Diceros bicornis minor: one gene and its partner. The main gene of each other region encodes a partner of the protein of the gene in region 2 in a complex. Links are inferred from orthologs where the notes say so. Each region holds a gene or a part of one and is shown on either strand. Other genes may lie near its edges.

Evidence for each region. Proteins that work in one complex are often made in the same cells at the same time.
Region 1: the proteins of TCN2 (region 2) and CD320 antigen-like are in contact, whole or in part, in a crystal structure (PDB 7QBF), measured with the Homo sapiens proteins. The link is inferred for Diceros bicornis minor from reciprocal best matches to the Homo sapiens genes TCN2 and CD320. Residues at the interface, in NP_000346.2 of Homo sapiens: Asp70, Leu71, His74, Lys77, Leu78, Gln81, Gln82, Glu91, Asp92, Arg120, Gly121, His122, Lys123, Asp125, Arg126, Val128, Ser129, Lys132, Trp133, Glu136, Arg140, Lys169, Arg170, His172; in NP_057663.1 of Homo sapiens: Thr57, Lys58, Leu66, Cys67, Val68, Pro69, Trp72, Asp75, Arg76, Asp77, Leu78, Asp79, Leu133, Glu136, Cys145, Ile146, Pro147, Thr149, Trp150, Asp153, Gly154, His155, Pro156, Asp157, Cys158, Pro159.

Annotation. Positions count from the first base shown.
Region 1 is NW_026691615.1:374,429-381,756, reverse strand, and holds the start of CD320 antigen-like, read right to left. Parts: upstream 3,140-7,328; 5' UTR 3,135-3,139; coding exon 3,014-3,134; intron 589-3,013; coding exon 463-588; intron 77-462; coding exon 1-76. Other genes in the region: NDUFA7 (NADH dehydrogenase [ubiquinone] 1 alpha subcomplex subunit 7), read right to left, coding at 6,232-6,322. UniProt on the Homo sapiens protein: Receptor for transcobalamin saturated with cobalamin (TCbl). Plays an important role in cobalamin uptake. Plasma membrane protein that is expressed on follicular dendritic cells (FDC) and mediates interaction with germinal center B cells.
Region 2 is NC_080774.1:24,152,521-24,159,682, reverse strand, and holds the start of TCN2 (transcobalamin-2), read right to left. Parts: upstream 3,204-7,162; 5' UTR 3,115-3,203; intron 2,910-3,114; exon of another isoform or gene 2,843-2,909; 5' UTR 2,696-2,842; coding exon 2,632-2,695; intron 1-2,631. UniProt on the Homo sapiens protein: Primary vitamin B12-binding and transport protein. Delivers cobalamin to cells.

The DNA of each region.
Region 1 (7,328 bases), on a different chromosome or scaffold from region 2:
TCATCGATGCTGTCACAAGAGCAGGGGCTGCCAGAGGGTGGCGGGCACCCCCCATCCTGGGCACAAGGCTCCATCCCTAGGGCAGAGGGTCAGTCAGGTCCCATACGCCCACCCAAGAGGGCCAGGGTTCTCCCACCGCCCAGCCCCACGCAAGGCCCGCCTTCCACGAAGAGTAGACCCTATAAGTGCCGCCGACCATAATGGCTCCGCCCCGCTTCCGTTAGCTCCACCTTCCAAGCACAGGCCTCCCTGTAAGCCCCTCCTGCCAAGACCCCACTACTCCGCCTCCCTGTAAACCCACAGCTCCTCAAGCTTCAATCCCAGCTTCCCTCCTTGCAAGCCCCGCCCACCCCAGACCCCGCCCCAGTGGGCGCTGCCTGAAGCCACACCCATTCCGCAGCCACCCCACCTCCCTCTGGCCCCGCCCCCTGCAAGCCCCGCCCCCGGGACGCGGCCACTCACTGCACTCCTGCTCGTCGCTGCCGTCAGCGCAGTCCGCGTCACCGTCGCAGCGCCAGGCGAGGGGCACGCAGAAGCCACTGGTGCGGCACTGGAAGCTGGTGGGCGGGCACGAGCCTGCGCTGGGGCCTGCGAGACGCGCACAAGTGAGGCCGAGTCTGCACCCTCCCCCAGGAGCAATGGTCACAGGCTCCACCTCGTGGAGACAGGGCGGGTTCCAGGGACCCTTTGCTGAGGACCTACTCTGTGTGGGGCTGGAGCTGCGCGCGTCACAGCCTCACCACGAGCCCTGTGGGGCAGGTTCTACTGCGATCCACACTCTACAAAAGACACTGAGGAGAGGGAAGGCCAGAGGCTGCAGAGCCAGTGGCAGAGGCCGGGTTGCAACCCAGGTCTCGCCGATCCTCCAGCCTTTACCAGGCTCCAAATGGCCAGATGACCTCCCCAGAAGTCCCTCCAAGACCCTTCTGGGTTAAACAGAACCTGCTCTGGATCAGGCCCAGCGGCAGGGTCAGCAGGGCTGTCATATCCTTCCTGCTTAGCAAAGGGGAAACTGAGGCCCTGGGAAGAGGACCTGCTTAGTCACCAAGCCTTGTCGACTCAACTCCTAAGTTCCTCCCAGATCCGATCATTTTCCCACCCTGAACGTGCCACCTCCACCATCTCCTGTCGGACACTGGAGACCTCTCAGAGTCGCACTATTCCGTCACCCACCCGCGCCTCCCCTCTGCTCAAAACTGTCCCCTGGTCCCCGACCCTCTCACAACCAACCCTACCTCCTCTGTGTGGTCCAGCCCTGAGCCCTTCCTGGACCTCACCTCCTCCCCCACTCTTCCTCTTCATCAGGCCCTTGGCCTGACTTCCTTGCTGCTTCTCCAAGAGGCCTGGCTCGTTTCCACCTCAGGGCCTTGGCCCATGCTGCTCCCTGGCTCACACTGCCCTTTCCTCCCCCAACTCTGCACCTGCTGATTTCCTCCTCAGCCTTCAGATCTCAGCTTCTTTCCTGGGAGGGGTCTCATGCCCTTCTCTGAGACCCCTGAAGCTCTGCCTCCCGCTTATAACAATGGACCCAATGGTCCTTAAACTGGTACCCGCGTAGACTAGGCGCTCAGTGGAGGTCAGAGCAATGACCTGGTGACCACAAGCCCAGGGCCGTGCCTGACAGCAAGCGGACACAGGTCACACAAGGGTCCAGGCTGAGTCCAGATGAGATCTGAGACTTCCTGGACCCCGGAGCACAGAAGGGCCTGGAAGCTGGGCCAGCAGGCAGGAGTCTGAGGGGCAGAGGAAGGGAGTGGCCTTGAGGGTCTCCTCCTGGGTGAACCAGGGCAGGTGGCCACCATCTGGCTTGGCCCCAGCCTAGCCTCACTCCCTTCAGTCCTGGGCCTCTGGCCCCTTTCACCTTTACTCCCAGGGCCCTGAGCCTCCAAAACCCCCACTCCGCACAGCCAGCCCCTCCGCAGGGCTCCAGGCCCAACTGTACCTGCGGGCCACACAGTCCCCGAGCTCAGGGAGCCCGGAAAAGCTGTGGAAATCCGGGATCCGCCTTCCCTCCAGGCCCCCGGGGGTCTGGCCGCCGCTGGCACGGCTTCCTCTCCAGCCCTAGCCGGCTTCCTCTCCAGCCCTAGCCGCTCTCTGCACTGACAAACTTTGACCTCCCTCCCTGGCTGCTGGAGCGTGCGTCCCTCTGCAAAGCGGGCGGCAGAGCAGAGCAGACCTGGCCTCATGGGGCTGGGGGGTCGGACAGGAGTTGGAGGCACCACTGACTCCCCTGCCGGCCTCAGGTTCCTCACCTGTAAAACGGGCACCCTAGGAGGCCCCACCTCAGTGTCCTGAGGACAGAAGACTGCTTGCGTGTAAAAAGTTTGGAACTGGTTAACGTGAGTCCTGCCTCCTTGGAGGAAACAGGCACATCCGGCCCGAAAAGGCAGGGGCTTCGGGGTCAGGCAGGGACCACAGCAGACAGGAACCCACGGAGGAGCGGGGTGAGCCTGAACCCGAGCTCACAGTGCGCACCGGGAGATCCCTGTAACGCGCCCAGCTGCCTCTGGGAACCTCAGAGAGGGTCAGGGGGACTTAGGGAAAACGCGTCCGCGGCTCTGGGGTCACAGGGAGGGAGAGAGCCCTCTCGTTCTTTAAGGCCGTTCTCTAAGGCCAGAGGAGGAAGGTGCAGAGATTGGCAGCGCGGGGGGTGGTCGCCAGGAAACGCAGCCACACGGGCTGGGGCGCGCGGGTTTGGAAGGCGCGCTGCTGCGGGAGGCGCCGGGTGCCCGGCCATGCACGATCAGACGGGGCACAACCAGCGCCTGCAGCGCGCCCTCCCGCCACGCTGGGCTGAAGGGCGGCGTGGGGGCGACAACAGGGCACGACAAGCAGAGCGGCTGTGCGGGGCGAGCAGGGCGGAGCAAGGCGGGCAGAGCCACCCGGGCCGAGGGTCCCGGGTCGGGGCGGCACGCGGGGCCGTCGGGCCACGTGCGGGGGAGTGTCCGCGACTCGCCGCAGCCAATGGCCGGGCGCTGCTGGCGCGCGGGGAGGGCGCGCGGAGCTCACTCACCTGGGGCCTGGGCCGAGGGTCGGGTCGCGGCCGGGGCGGCGTCCAGGCCCAGCCCGAGGCCGAGCAGCAGCCGCAGCGCCAGGCCCAGAGCCGCTGCTCGCCGCGCCCCGCCCCCCGCCATCAGCCGCTCGGCGCACCGCCCCCATCGCGCCACCGGCCCGCTCTTATCCCCGCGCACGCGCACGCGCAGCCCGGGGGGCGGGGCCCAGGCACCAGGACCCGCGGCGTCCGCGGCCAGGGCTACCGTAAAGGGTCGAATACGAGGGGCGCAGCGATTTCACACTCACCCCGCTCTCCCCACCCACAAGGCATAGCGAAGGCTCTGGGGCCCATTTGAAGTTAGAAACTTGTGGGGATGTACACGAACTTGTGGGTGGCTTCTCACAATATTTAACTTTCCACTTGCATCCGGCAGCAAAAGTCACTGCCTAATTATCCTATTGAATATGGCGCCACTCCTCTCAGGCGTGCCCCAGCCCTCCCTCCTCCTGCGCCTTCTGTGCCCTGGACAGATTATATATTTACTAATTTTTGTTTAGTGTCTGATTCCCCACTAGAATGTCAGCTCCAGGAGGGAAGGAATGCTGTGTTCCTCGTTGTGTCTCCAAAGCCGGGAACAGTGCCTGACACATAGTAGGCTCTTTTTTTCTTTTTAAGATTTTATTTTATTTATTTTTCTCCCCCAAAGCCCTAGTAGATTGTTGTATGTCATAGCTGCACCTCATTCTAGTTGCTGTATGTGGGATGCAGCCTCAGCATGGCCGGAGAAGTGGTGCGTCGGTGGCGTCCGGGATCCGGGCCCGCGCCGCCAGCAGCGGAGCGCGCACACTTAACCGCTAAGCCACCGGGCCCGCCCAGTAGGCTCTTAAAGATTTGGTGAGTAGGGGCGGCCCGGTGCGCGCTCCGCTTCGGGCGGCCCTGGGTCCGGATCCCCGCGCGCACCGACACACCTCTTGTCTGGCCATGCTTAGGGGGCATCCCACATACAGCAACTGGAAGGATGTGCAACTATGTGCATCTATGACATACAACTATCTACTGGGGCTTTGAGGAGAAAAAGGGGAAAAAAAGGAGAAGGATTGGCATGGATGTTAGCTCAGGGCTGATCTTGCTCACACACAAAAAAAATAGATGCTGTGTGTAAATGTAAGAATCCTCCGGTTCCTGGCTTCCATCCTGGGTCCTCCATCCCTCCCACCTGGATGCGCGCGCCCTCGCTCCCTGCCTCACTTAGTCCTTCTAGACTCCTCATAGGGAGGTGGGTATCATTTTTTACTTCGGGAACAAGATATGCAAAGGCAGCCCTTGGGGTTTCTCTTCTCCCGCTCACCCAGTAGGCACATAAATTACAAACCTGCTGCAGACTTTCCAGCCAATCTGACCTCAGTGTTTTCTTCTTGGAAATAAAGAGCTTATCGACAGCTCTGCCTTCCGGAGAAGCAGCGCGTCCAACTGCCAGCAGGACCCCAGACAAGTTACCGTCCCCCAGCGTTAAGACAGGCGTGGGAGTGTTCACCAATCCCAGTTTTCCGTGATGCCACACTAAAGCGTCCAGATCTTCCCAGAAGGAGTTGCATTTACAGGTTGATGGCATGCTATTTCAAAACGCTGGAGGTTTCAGCTGCTTTTGGAGCATATATACATGTAATTGTTTAAATCAGCCTCTCTCCCTATTTCCAGGGGAAATGAGGTAAGACGCGAGGGTGCACAGATGCGGAGGAGGATGACAAGGATGGCAGACGCGACTGCCCAGGGCAGGGCAGGGGAGCAGCCGCCTTCGAGCCTCGCCATCTCGGTGAGGGAGGCATGGGGCGCGGGACAAGAGCGGGAGCAGCTGTGCCTTTGCGGGAGTGGAGCGCAGACTCATGCCCCCCCCCCCCCCCCCCCCCCGTTCGGGGCCAGCTCTCAGCGAGCCTGAGGCAGTTCTCGGTCTCTTCACGCCTCGGTTCTTCTGTCGAGGGGCTGTGACCCCAGCGATGACCTGGCAGGATTGCTCCAGGAGCCGGGATCACGCAGAGAAAGGCTTCAGAAGGTGCCTGGCACCGCGAGGAGCTCAGGCATCAGACCTCTCCCCTCCTCCACTCCCACGCCCAATTTCAAGTCTGGGTCATGCAAATTTATTGGGAAACTTGCAGTGACCCGCCTTGCCCTGGGTTTTTCAAAGCCCTCCGGGTTGCCCTCCTTGTGGCCTCTGCACACCCTGCCCCGCCTCCCTCTCCCTGCTGACCTTCTTTCTCAATGGGATTCATCCTTGGCCCCAACCAGAATCCCACATCCGCCAGGAAGCCTTCCCAGGGGCTTCAGCCCCTTGGATGAGCTTTTAGCATTTGTCTCTCCCACTCTGGGGCACTCATAACTCCTGCTGGGGACTGTGACCTTTTCCTGCCCTGCTCTAGGCTGCCACAGGGCAGGGCCGTCTCACCAGGCTCCGGGCACACGGCTGATCCTCCTCACCTACTGAGGGTTGCAGGTTCTTCCCAGGGGCACTCTCCCACTTGAAGTCACTGCGTGGCTCCTGCAGCCAGCCTTGGGCTACTTCCTGTTCAGCTTTTGCTCCCCTCATTCCCCCACAGGGACCAGGGGCCTCACCGCCCCCAGGCCCAAGCACAGAGGTCTCTGGCTCAGGGAGCCTTTCCTGACCTGCCCTAGGTGAGCCTTCCCTGGGCGCCGCCTCGCTGTCCTGCCTTCCCCGCTGAGCTGCGGGGGTCCAGGATCGGGGCGGGCTGGGGGGTCGCGGTGGGAGGGCACTGGCCCATGTCCACACAAGTGATGGCCTGGGGAGCTCTTGAGATCCAGAGGCCAAGTGAGCAGTTTGTGTTTGGCCCGCGTCCTTCACAGTCGGTGCTCACAAACACCCAGGGGTCCTGGAGCCACCCCACCACTCTCGGGGACAGAGCCAGGCCCTCGGAGAAGGACCAGTGACATGTCTGGGCCCCCCCGCACCATGTCACCTGACTCTGTGCCCAGTGGCAGCATGGCACCCTGGACCCCCAGAACACTACCCCTCCCCCGCCCCTAGAGCGCTGCTGGAGTCAGAAGATTCTCACCCACTTCACCCCAAAGTCCAAGCAAGCGGGTGTCGCTTCAAAAGGAACAACGGAAGCCATACTGCAGCTCCATATAATCGGCATAAATTAGGTCAGTCTCCCCAAAGGGAATCCAAGGAGGGGAAGCACCCCGGTGGCACTGAGGGCCCGGCCAGGTGTCCCAGGGCACAGTCACAGGTAAGGCTGGTCACGGGAGAGCTCCCACCTCTTGATGGGAGGAGCCGGCGTCACCGCCTTCTTCTCAGTGGCTGCCGCAGCCGGGCTGGAGGAGAAAAGCAGACTGTGGTTAGGGCCAGGTTTCCAAAGAACAGGGTGGAAGGATCTGAGGGACACACCTGCCCCTGAGGGGTACTCGCCTGCTGAGACTGTGGAGCCGGAGGCCAGAGCGTGGGGTGTTTCAGAACGCCAGACCCCTCCAATGGGGTCCCCCGGAGGGTCAGCCCACTTGCTGGGAGCTGGCCAGCCCCGTCTGCCCTGAGCCCCGTGAACCCCCAGTCGGCCTGGCTCTTGGGCCCAGAAGCAGCCGTGACTAGCCCTGTCCCCTCCAGTACTCCTTCCCACATGCGGCCCCAGGGTGCACCAGCACCCCGCTCCTGCTGCCCCAGGACAGGACAGGGGCAAGGGCCGGGCCCTCAGGCGACGGCCCCCGCTGCTCATCCTTCCCTCGGTGCCCAGCACCTCTCCCCGGCAGGCGCTGTATGTGGGCACAGCGCAGCCAGACCAGCCCCCTCAGTCTCACGGGGCTGAGGGTCGGTGTGCAATTGAAAACACATCATTTGGCCCAGAGGTGGCCTGGGGTGAGCCCCAAGGAGACACCGTGCCAGCAAATCCGAGGCAAGCAGCCCCCCACCTGAGCCCCTGGGGCCTAGGGCTGGAGGGGCTTGCACACGGTGAGCAAGAAAGGAGAGGAGGCAGAAAGAGGGGGGCTCTCCTTGTGGAGGAGGCCCCCCGTGCCTCCTACTCTCCCGGAGCGTGAAGCAGATGCAAGGGGCAGAAGGCAGCAGACATCCGGGGGCAGTGAGGGGTGTGGGGGAGCAGGGCAGCTTGCCCCAGTCCGGTGCTGGACTCTGGTGGATCTGAAGACCACCACAGTTCAGAGCTCTAACTGCACAGCAGGCCCCGCCTGGCCTCACCACCTTATAGATCTCCTCACAGTGCAAGCCCACCGCCCCCATTTTACAGATGAAGAAACTGAGGCTCAAGGCGGCTGAAGGACTGGCCCAGGACCATATGGTGAATCGGCTAGAGACCAGACACCACTGGGGGTC
Region 2 (7,162 bases):
TATTTTGTACGTGGGACACCGCCACAGGATGGCTTGATGAGCGGTCTGTAGGTCCACACCCGAGACCCGAACCCACAAACTCCAGGCTGCCTAAACAGAGTGTGTGAACTTAACCACTACGCCACTGGGCTGGCCCCCCACATTCAATTTTAAAACAGACTGCCCACTGGCTAACTGGGACTGCCTAGTGAACTTCCTCTGTGCAGATCTCAAAATAACACTTTTCTGGCCACCTCTGTGTAGGTGGAGAGGACTTGAGATGGTAAGGTGTATTGTTAGCAAGCCATCATCATTTGCAACCATTTTTCTGTGTGCTTTGGGATTTACCTGAAATTGTGTAACCAAAATACAGAAATACCTAGGAAGTAGAAGCTTCAGGGATGTTTCCCAGCTCCAGCTGACTGGCGCCTGCCTCCCTTAGGGAAGGGACCTGAACTGTGTGGGTGGCCTTGGAGGTACTTTGGACTTTTCCCTATTTACTGCCTCCCAGCTGCTGCAGGGATCCAGCTGCCTGCACTGTGTACTGTCCCAGGATGCTGGGCAGGCCGCCCCTTTCAGAGGACGAGCAAAGAGAAACCACGCGCAGAGTGTTTCACGCATCTTGGGCTGCGGGGCAAGAGGACCAGGGTTCCGCCCACAGAGCCCCCTCTCTCCCTGTTTGGATCCCACCATCTTATGCCTGTTTCCCAAAAGTCACAGGTATCTGTTGCTGTGCGAGATGAGGGTGGAGGAGAGTTACTTTTCTTTCCCTTTCTCTCTCTCAACTCCTTTCTGTGTCTCTGCTTCCATTTCTATAGGGATTTCCCTCTTTCTCTGGATCTGTCTTAGTCTCTACATCTTTCAGCCCGTCTCTCTGGGCACCTGTCCCTCTGCACCTCTCTTTCCTCTCTCTCTTTTCTTCAAAGTGGTGAGGGAGCCCTGCCCCCACCCTGGGCTCTGACCTCCAGCCAGTGAGTCAGCCCTGAGATTAGAAGTGATAAGAAGAGAAGCTCCATCTGTAAAGAGAGGCTGAGAACCACAATGCAGCCTCCTTAGAAGGAAGGAGCCAGGCAGATTCACTCAGGATAATAAAAGTGGCCCTGGGTGAGGTCTCTCCCCAGTGGGGCCCTGCTCACAGGACCGCCCAGCTCTGCCAATGGAGGATTGACTGGCATTGACATTTGGAAGTGCAGGAGCCCGCCCTGCACCAGCACCAGTCCAGCATCTCTGTTAATGTCACAGCCACACGGAGCTTTAAGCTCACAGAGCGGGTGCCATGGGATGCTTGCATCACACCGAGGAGAAAGGCAAGGGAGCATTTTCAGCCCATTATACAGGTGAGGGAATGAGGCTCAGAGGGCCTAAGTGGCTCAGCAGCAGCAGGCTGCACTCCCAAAAAGTCCAGGGCTCTTGTGGGGTCAGTCCTATGAGCCAACTGTTGAAAGGTTCATGCCCAGCAAGGGTAAGGACCGGATCCCAGGTCTCCCCTGGGGACTCTCTGGACCAGAACCAAGGGCCCAGGGCTCAGAAGTCTGGTTGCACTTGTGGAACCCAGGCCGGAGGCTTCTGGTGCCCAGGGGAGACCCTGGCCTGGAGTGCTGAGAACTGAGTCTGGCAAAGCCCTGGAAAGCTGGAGCACCTTGGGCAGGTCACCTGGGCCCTCTGACCTTTGACTTCTTCATGTGTCACCTGGACATGACTGTCCCTGCCTCTCGGTTTCTCCAAGGATCAAGAGATATCCTGGTGGCGAAAGCAGAGCCTAATGCTGTGGGCAGAGTTTGAGGAGGGAAGAAGAGCTGTGGGCGGCCCTGGGAGGATTCCCTTCCTGCCTTCTGCTTTCCGCCAGGCTCCGGTGCACAAGTAGCCCCAAACCTGTGTGCTCAGACTCATAGACAAGTCCCAAGAGGCGCCCGGGGGCCTGGGCCTGGGACACAGAGCCAGGCAGCCAGTCCCCTGTGCTTGGAATACACGTAGCACAAATGCCTTGCCAGGACCCGCCCGCCCCTCTCAGGATCCCCTCCCACCAGGGTCTCCACACACTCACCTCCCTCTGCCTTCGATACCTCTCCCCCATGCCCTTCCTTGTCAGCTCCTTTCCTCCTTTGGGTCTCAGTTCCCACGTTGCCCCCTAGTCCTTGGAAATCTCTCCCGACCTCTCTCCCCGAATCAGTGGCCGCCTGGCTCTCTCTCTCTGCACCTGGCTGGCTTCCTTTGGCACACACCACAGACCCAAACAGCCCCAATATGCCTCTTAACTTCTTTGATCTGTCCCCTTCACTAGAATGGAGCTCTAGGAGGGCAGGGGCTGGACCTGTCTCGCTCTTTGTTCTTTCCCCAAAGCCTAACACAGCACCTGGCACAGAGAAGCCTTAATCAATGTGTGTTGGATGAATAAACGTACAAATGACTGAATTAATGGAGGAAATCGTGTCTGGTGGGGAGTCAGACATATAATTAATCTTGATACAATGTGCTAAACGCTGAAGTCCAGCCATGCCCAAACTGCTGTGGGAGCCCAGAGAGGCAGATCCGTCGCACCCCCCACACATCTGAGCCTGTTTCCGCAGGTAAACAGTCAGAGGCTTGGACAAGATGGCCCTCCCTCCTAAGGACCCAGGAGGAAAGAGAAACAGGGCAGATCAAGTTACTCACCGCAGATCTCAGCGAGAGCCCCCGGGCTCCCCAGCAGGAAGAGCAGGACCATGAGTCGCCCCATGGCAGGAGCAGGTGGGTGAGCAGCAGGCAGGAAATGGGACAGGCTCCTGGGGCTGGGCTTGCAGAGGGTCTCCTGACCACAGTCCGTCACTACTCCGAAAGAGGCACCTTCCTGTCACTGATTAATCTCTGCACGCCTGGCACGCTGCTAAGTCAGCAGAGAAAAAGGGGAAGGAAGTCCAAAGAACAGAGGAAGGAAGAGCAGAGCAGGCTTCCTGGAGGTAGGGGGCAGGGGGAGAGGAGGGCAGGTAGGGATGGTGTGAGACATCTGAGGCCGGCCACATGCTGTTCCCACTGCCTAAAGAGCCCTGGACCAGCGCAGAAGGCCTGCCATCTGATCTGTCCAAGTCTGTCTGATTGCGCCTGTCTGGTATCCCCCCAGCTGTTCCAGTGGTGGATGGGCAGTGCGGGGGTGCCTACCTGGTGCCTCTCACAGAAGGAACCCCTCGAAGTGCCCACCCTGGCGTGGGACAGGGAGCAGAACGGGGAGCTCCTATTGTCACGTGAGCGAGACTGCTGTTGTCAGCTGTTCTCTGCCTGCCCGCCCAGGGAGGCGGGGCAGCTGGACCCAGAACAGACAGGCCAGTTTTCTCAATCATCTGGAAAGCTGAGGGCCTCCTGGAGACAAAACAAAACATATTAAGGAACGAGATTTAATCATTTGAGACACAAAGCCACCTGTAGCAAGGCTACTTGTCAGGACTAGGAAAGTGACCTAAAAAACCTCTGCAAGGAGGAGAGAGAACAAAGGATTCCTCATCTGCCCAGCCCCACAAGGAAATCAGGGTACAAGAGTTAACTCTGGGGCGCTGTGTGACCTTTACCAGGTTGCTTAACCTCTCTGAGTTTGAAATAGGTTCTCATGTGTGAGGTGAGAGAGTTGGATAAGATCATTCTAGCTAAGCTCCCTTCCAGCTCAACTCGTGCAAATGTTATTACCTTAAAACGCCTCTAGTCATTTCCAAATAAGATTTTTATTGAAATCATTTTCTGGCAAATTGCCAAGTTTCGTTCTTTCAAGATAATTTGTTTTTGCGCCTGACTTATCACAAGTCAAGCTCTTGACATAGATAAATACAGAGGTGTGCATCTGCTTACAGAATTTAAAATTAGATTGTCCAGTGCAGGAAGGCTGGGTGTGGCCCATCAGGGTGAGGTTCCGGGGAAGGAAGGAGGCTAGCTGGAAGCCCAACTTCTGCAGATTCTCAGGTTCGAATCTCCAAGGGCAATTTGTGTGCAATGGAGCCACCTTGGTCAGAGACAGGACTGCCCCAGCCCCCCAACCCTCTGCCTGTGGTAGGTGGTGGTGATTCTGGTTCCTGTCACTTCCAGGAGGGCAGACTGGAGGAGGCGGCCATGGTGGAGGGACTCCCCATAGCCTGGCCTCTGGTGAGAAGCAGTTTCTTTCAGGATAGTCACCTCTGATACCTGAGGACTCGAGGGTACCACAGTGAGGGAAACAGATAGCCCCCTGCCTGCTGGCTTGGACTCACCGTCCCAACAGGGAAGACGTGCATTTCCCAAAGCTATTAGAAATAGAGTGGCTGATTGGGGGTGGAGCTGGGCTGTTTTAGGTAATGCAGTTGTAGGGGAGGAAGACAATTCCTCTACCCACTCTAGGTCCTTGTGGCTGGCCTAAGAATTAAATTGACATGAGGCAGTGTGGGAGATCAAAATTGGCCACCTCGGGGCCGGCCCGGTGGCACAGCGGTTAAGTGCACGCGCTCCACTGTGGCGGCCCGGGGTTCGCAGGTTTGGATCCTGGGCGCACACCGACACACCACTTGTTAAGCCATGCTGTGGCGGTGTCCCATATAACGTAGAGGAAGATGGGCACGGATGTTAGCCCAGGGCCAATCTTCCTCAAGAAAAAAGGGGAAGATTGGCATCGGATGTTAGCTCAGGGCTAGTCCTCACAAAAAAGAAAAAAAAAATTGGCCACCTCAAAATATGTCTTTTTACCTTGATTATTTTCTCTGAAAAAAACTTTGACCTTCTCCCAAACTTATGCCTAAAAGCAACAGACTGGGAGGGTTTTTGCTAAGCCCAGTCTTATCAAAATTCTCTTTACCAAACGTTTATATTTGTAAGGGAAATCTCCATGTGTAAAGGTATCTCCCTCTCTGTACTGGGAAGTGGGGGGATGACCTCATCTCTAGAAACTTATCAATGAGGAAGGTGAGGCTGCATAATAACCTTACTGTGCTTTTCTGGTAATTGCCCATAACTGACTCCCCCACCCCCAACATCCTTCTTTGTCTTTACTTAAATCTATTTAAGAAGAGAACCTCCACCATTTTGTTGAGAAACTCGATTTCCCTGGTTTCTCCCATGTGTACATGTTATTAAACTTTGTTTGATTTTCTCCTGCTAGTCGGTCTCATGTCAATTTAATTTGTAGCCCAGCCAGAAAGGCCCCAGAGTGGGTAAAGGATAGTCTTCCTCCCCTTCAACAGAATAACAGGAGAAAATCAAAAAAAGCTTTATAACATGTATACATGGGAGAGACCCAGGAAAACTGAGCACCTCTCCAGAATGGCTGAGGTCACCACCTTAAATATCATTTTTAGCTAAAGACAGAGGAGGGTGTTGGGGGTAGTGGTTTGGGGCTTCAAGGGGGAGGAAGAGAATTTACATGGAGATGGAAATGCAAACGGGCCAACTATAGACAATGTGACCTGAGAGACACATTTTACATTACATTACAGTTATCTTATGGTATTAGCTCCTTCCTGGAACAGGCCCTTCTATTTTAAATACTTTTAGGCAATTGGGGGTGGAGGGGGTTCAAAGTTTCTTTCAAAGTCTTTTGTTCTTAAAAATAATCAAGCCAAAGAAACACATTTTGGGGTGGCCAATTCTGATCCCCCACACAGTCAAGGAAAGTAAAAAAGAAAGATGACTAAAGCTTTTGGTTTGAGATTTCTACTTGGGAGACTTTAGCTGAGAAAGTAAAAATTAGCTTGCGATGAGTAAGTAGAAGTCTGCCTGTCCATGCATCAGGACAGGCAAGGATAAAGCGAGCCACAAGGTTAACAGGAAATACTATTTCTCCCAAGGTCATGTTGCAGCTGTAAAGTGTCCTAATAGCCATGTTCTTTGAGGGACTATTACTTTTTTACTGAGATTTCTTTTTTTCCCCCTAAAATCACAAACTAGCAGAAATTTGCTGTTTGAAATTATTCTAGTAAGAATGAAACATTCCTGGGAGGTGCTAAGTCACCGTGAAACCAGCAAACAGTTAGCCATTGATGATTAGGGAGCTAAGAACTAGAGTTTTTTTCCTTTTTGCAATTACTGATTGTAGCTTTTACTTGTTCCCCCACCCCTTGTTAACTGTGCTGTTTAGGCAATATGCTGTCTGACTCCCACTAGGTTCCTATAGATAACATCTCCTTGAAGCCTGGGTCACCATGGTAATGGATGTTTGAGCTGTTTTCAGGAATTAGAACCCCTTGTCCACTTCAGGCCAGTTGAGACCACCAACACATACTGGGACCATGCAGATGTCTGATAAGTGATCTTTCAACGTCAAGAGGCTAAAAATTCCACCCTCGGGTCATGCCAACATCGCCATTTTGCGAACATGCGTCCTACGAAGAGGCATGAAGTCTGACTAAGCTTGTGCAGATCATCAGTTACCTCACCTCTCCTCACCTCCAATCATCTATCTCCACATTTCAGACCCCCTTGCCCCCGACCCCATAAATAACTCTGAGTCCCTATTTTCAAGGAGGCAGATTTGAAACTTGTTCTCCCGTTTTCTTCACTTGGCTGCCTTGTGATTAAACCCTCTCTCTCTGCAATCTCGTTGTCTCGGTGTTTGTCTTTCTGGGTGATGGGCAAAAACAAACTGGTTTGGTAACAAACTTGTCACAGAGAAGCAGCCTCAGATAAGGAGTTTCTGGACTCAACATTCCAGGCCTATCTTAACTTTGTAGTTTCCAAAGGAACAGGACTCTGGTGGGTCCACTGTGCTTTGCTGTTGATAAATAAATGGCAAGCAATAGGATATATTGGAGTATATGAGGAAGCCTTTTGGTGTAAAACTAATTCGGCCAGACCTTGTTTTTCCAAAAGGGCCAGACGTGGTCTTTGAACATGCATTGTATATCTGCTTTAAGCATTTACTATGTCAAAAAGACAAGAACAAATGCCGTTAAGATAAAGTAACTTCCCTCACATCAGCATTTCCTTAAGGATAAGCATCTCTCTCTCTAGGCTAGGGATTGATTGCTGACCTGCTGTGACCATTCAGCTGGAGACCACAGACCTGCTACCTGCTGTGTTCATCAATTGCTGTGTGAATCGCTGTGCCAGTTAGGCAGGCTAGGCAATCTCATGACTGTTGTAAAAGGGACATTCCAATCATATGTGATACATGCTCTTTGATGGTATATAACCACTCTGTACACCCCACTTCTTTGGTGCCCTTCCTTCCTTGGGGAAGGAAGGCCCCAGGCTATAC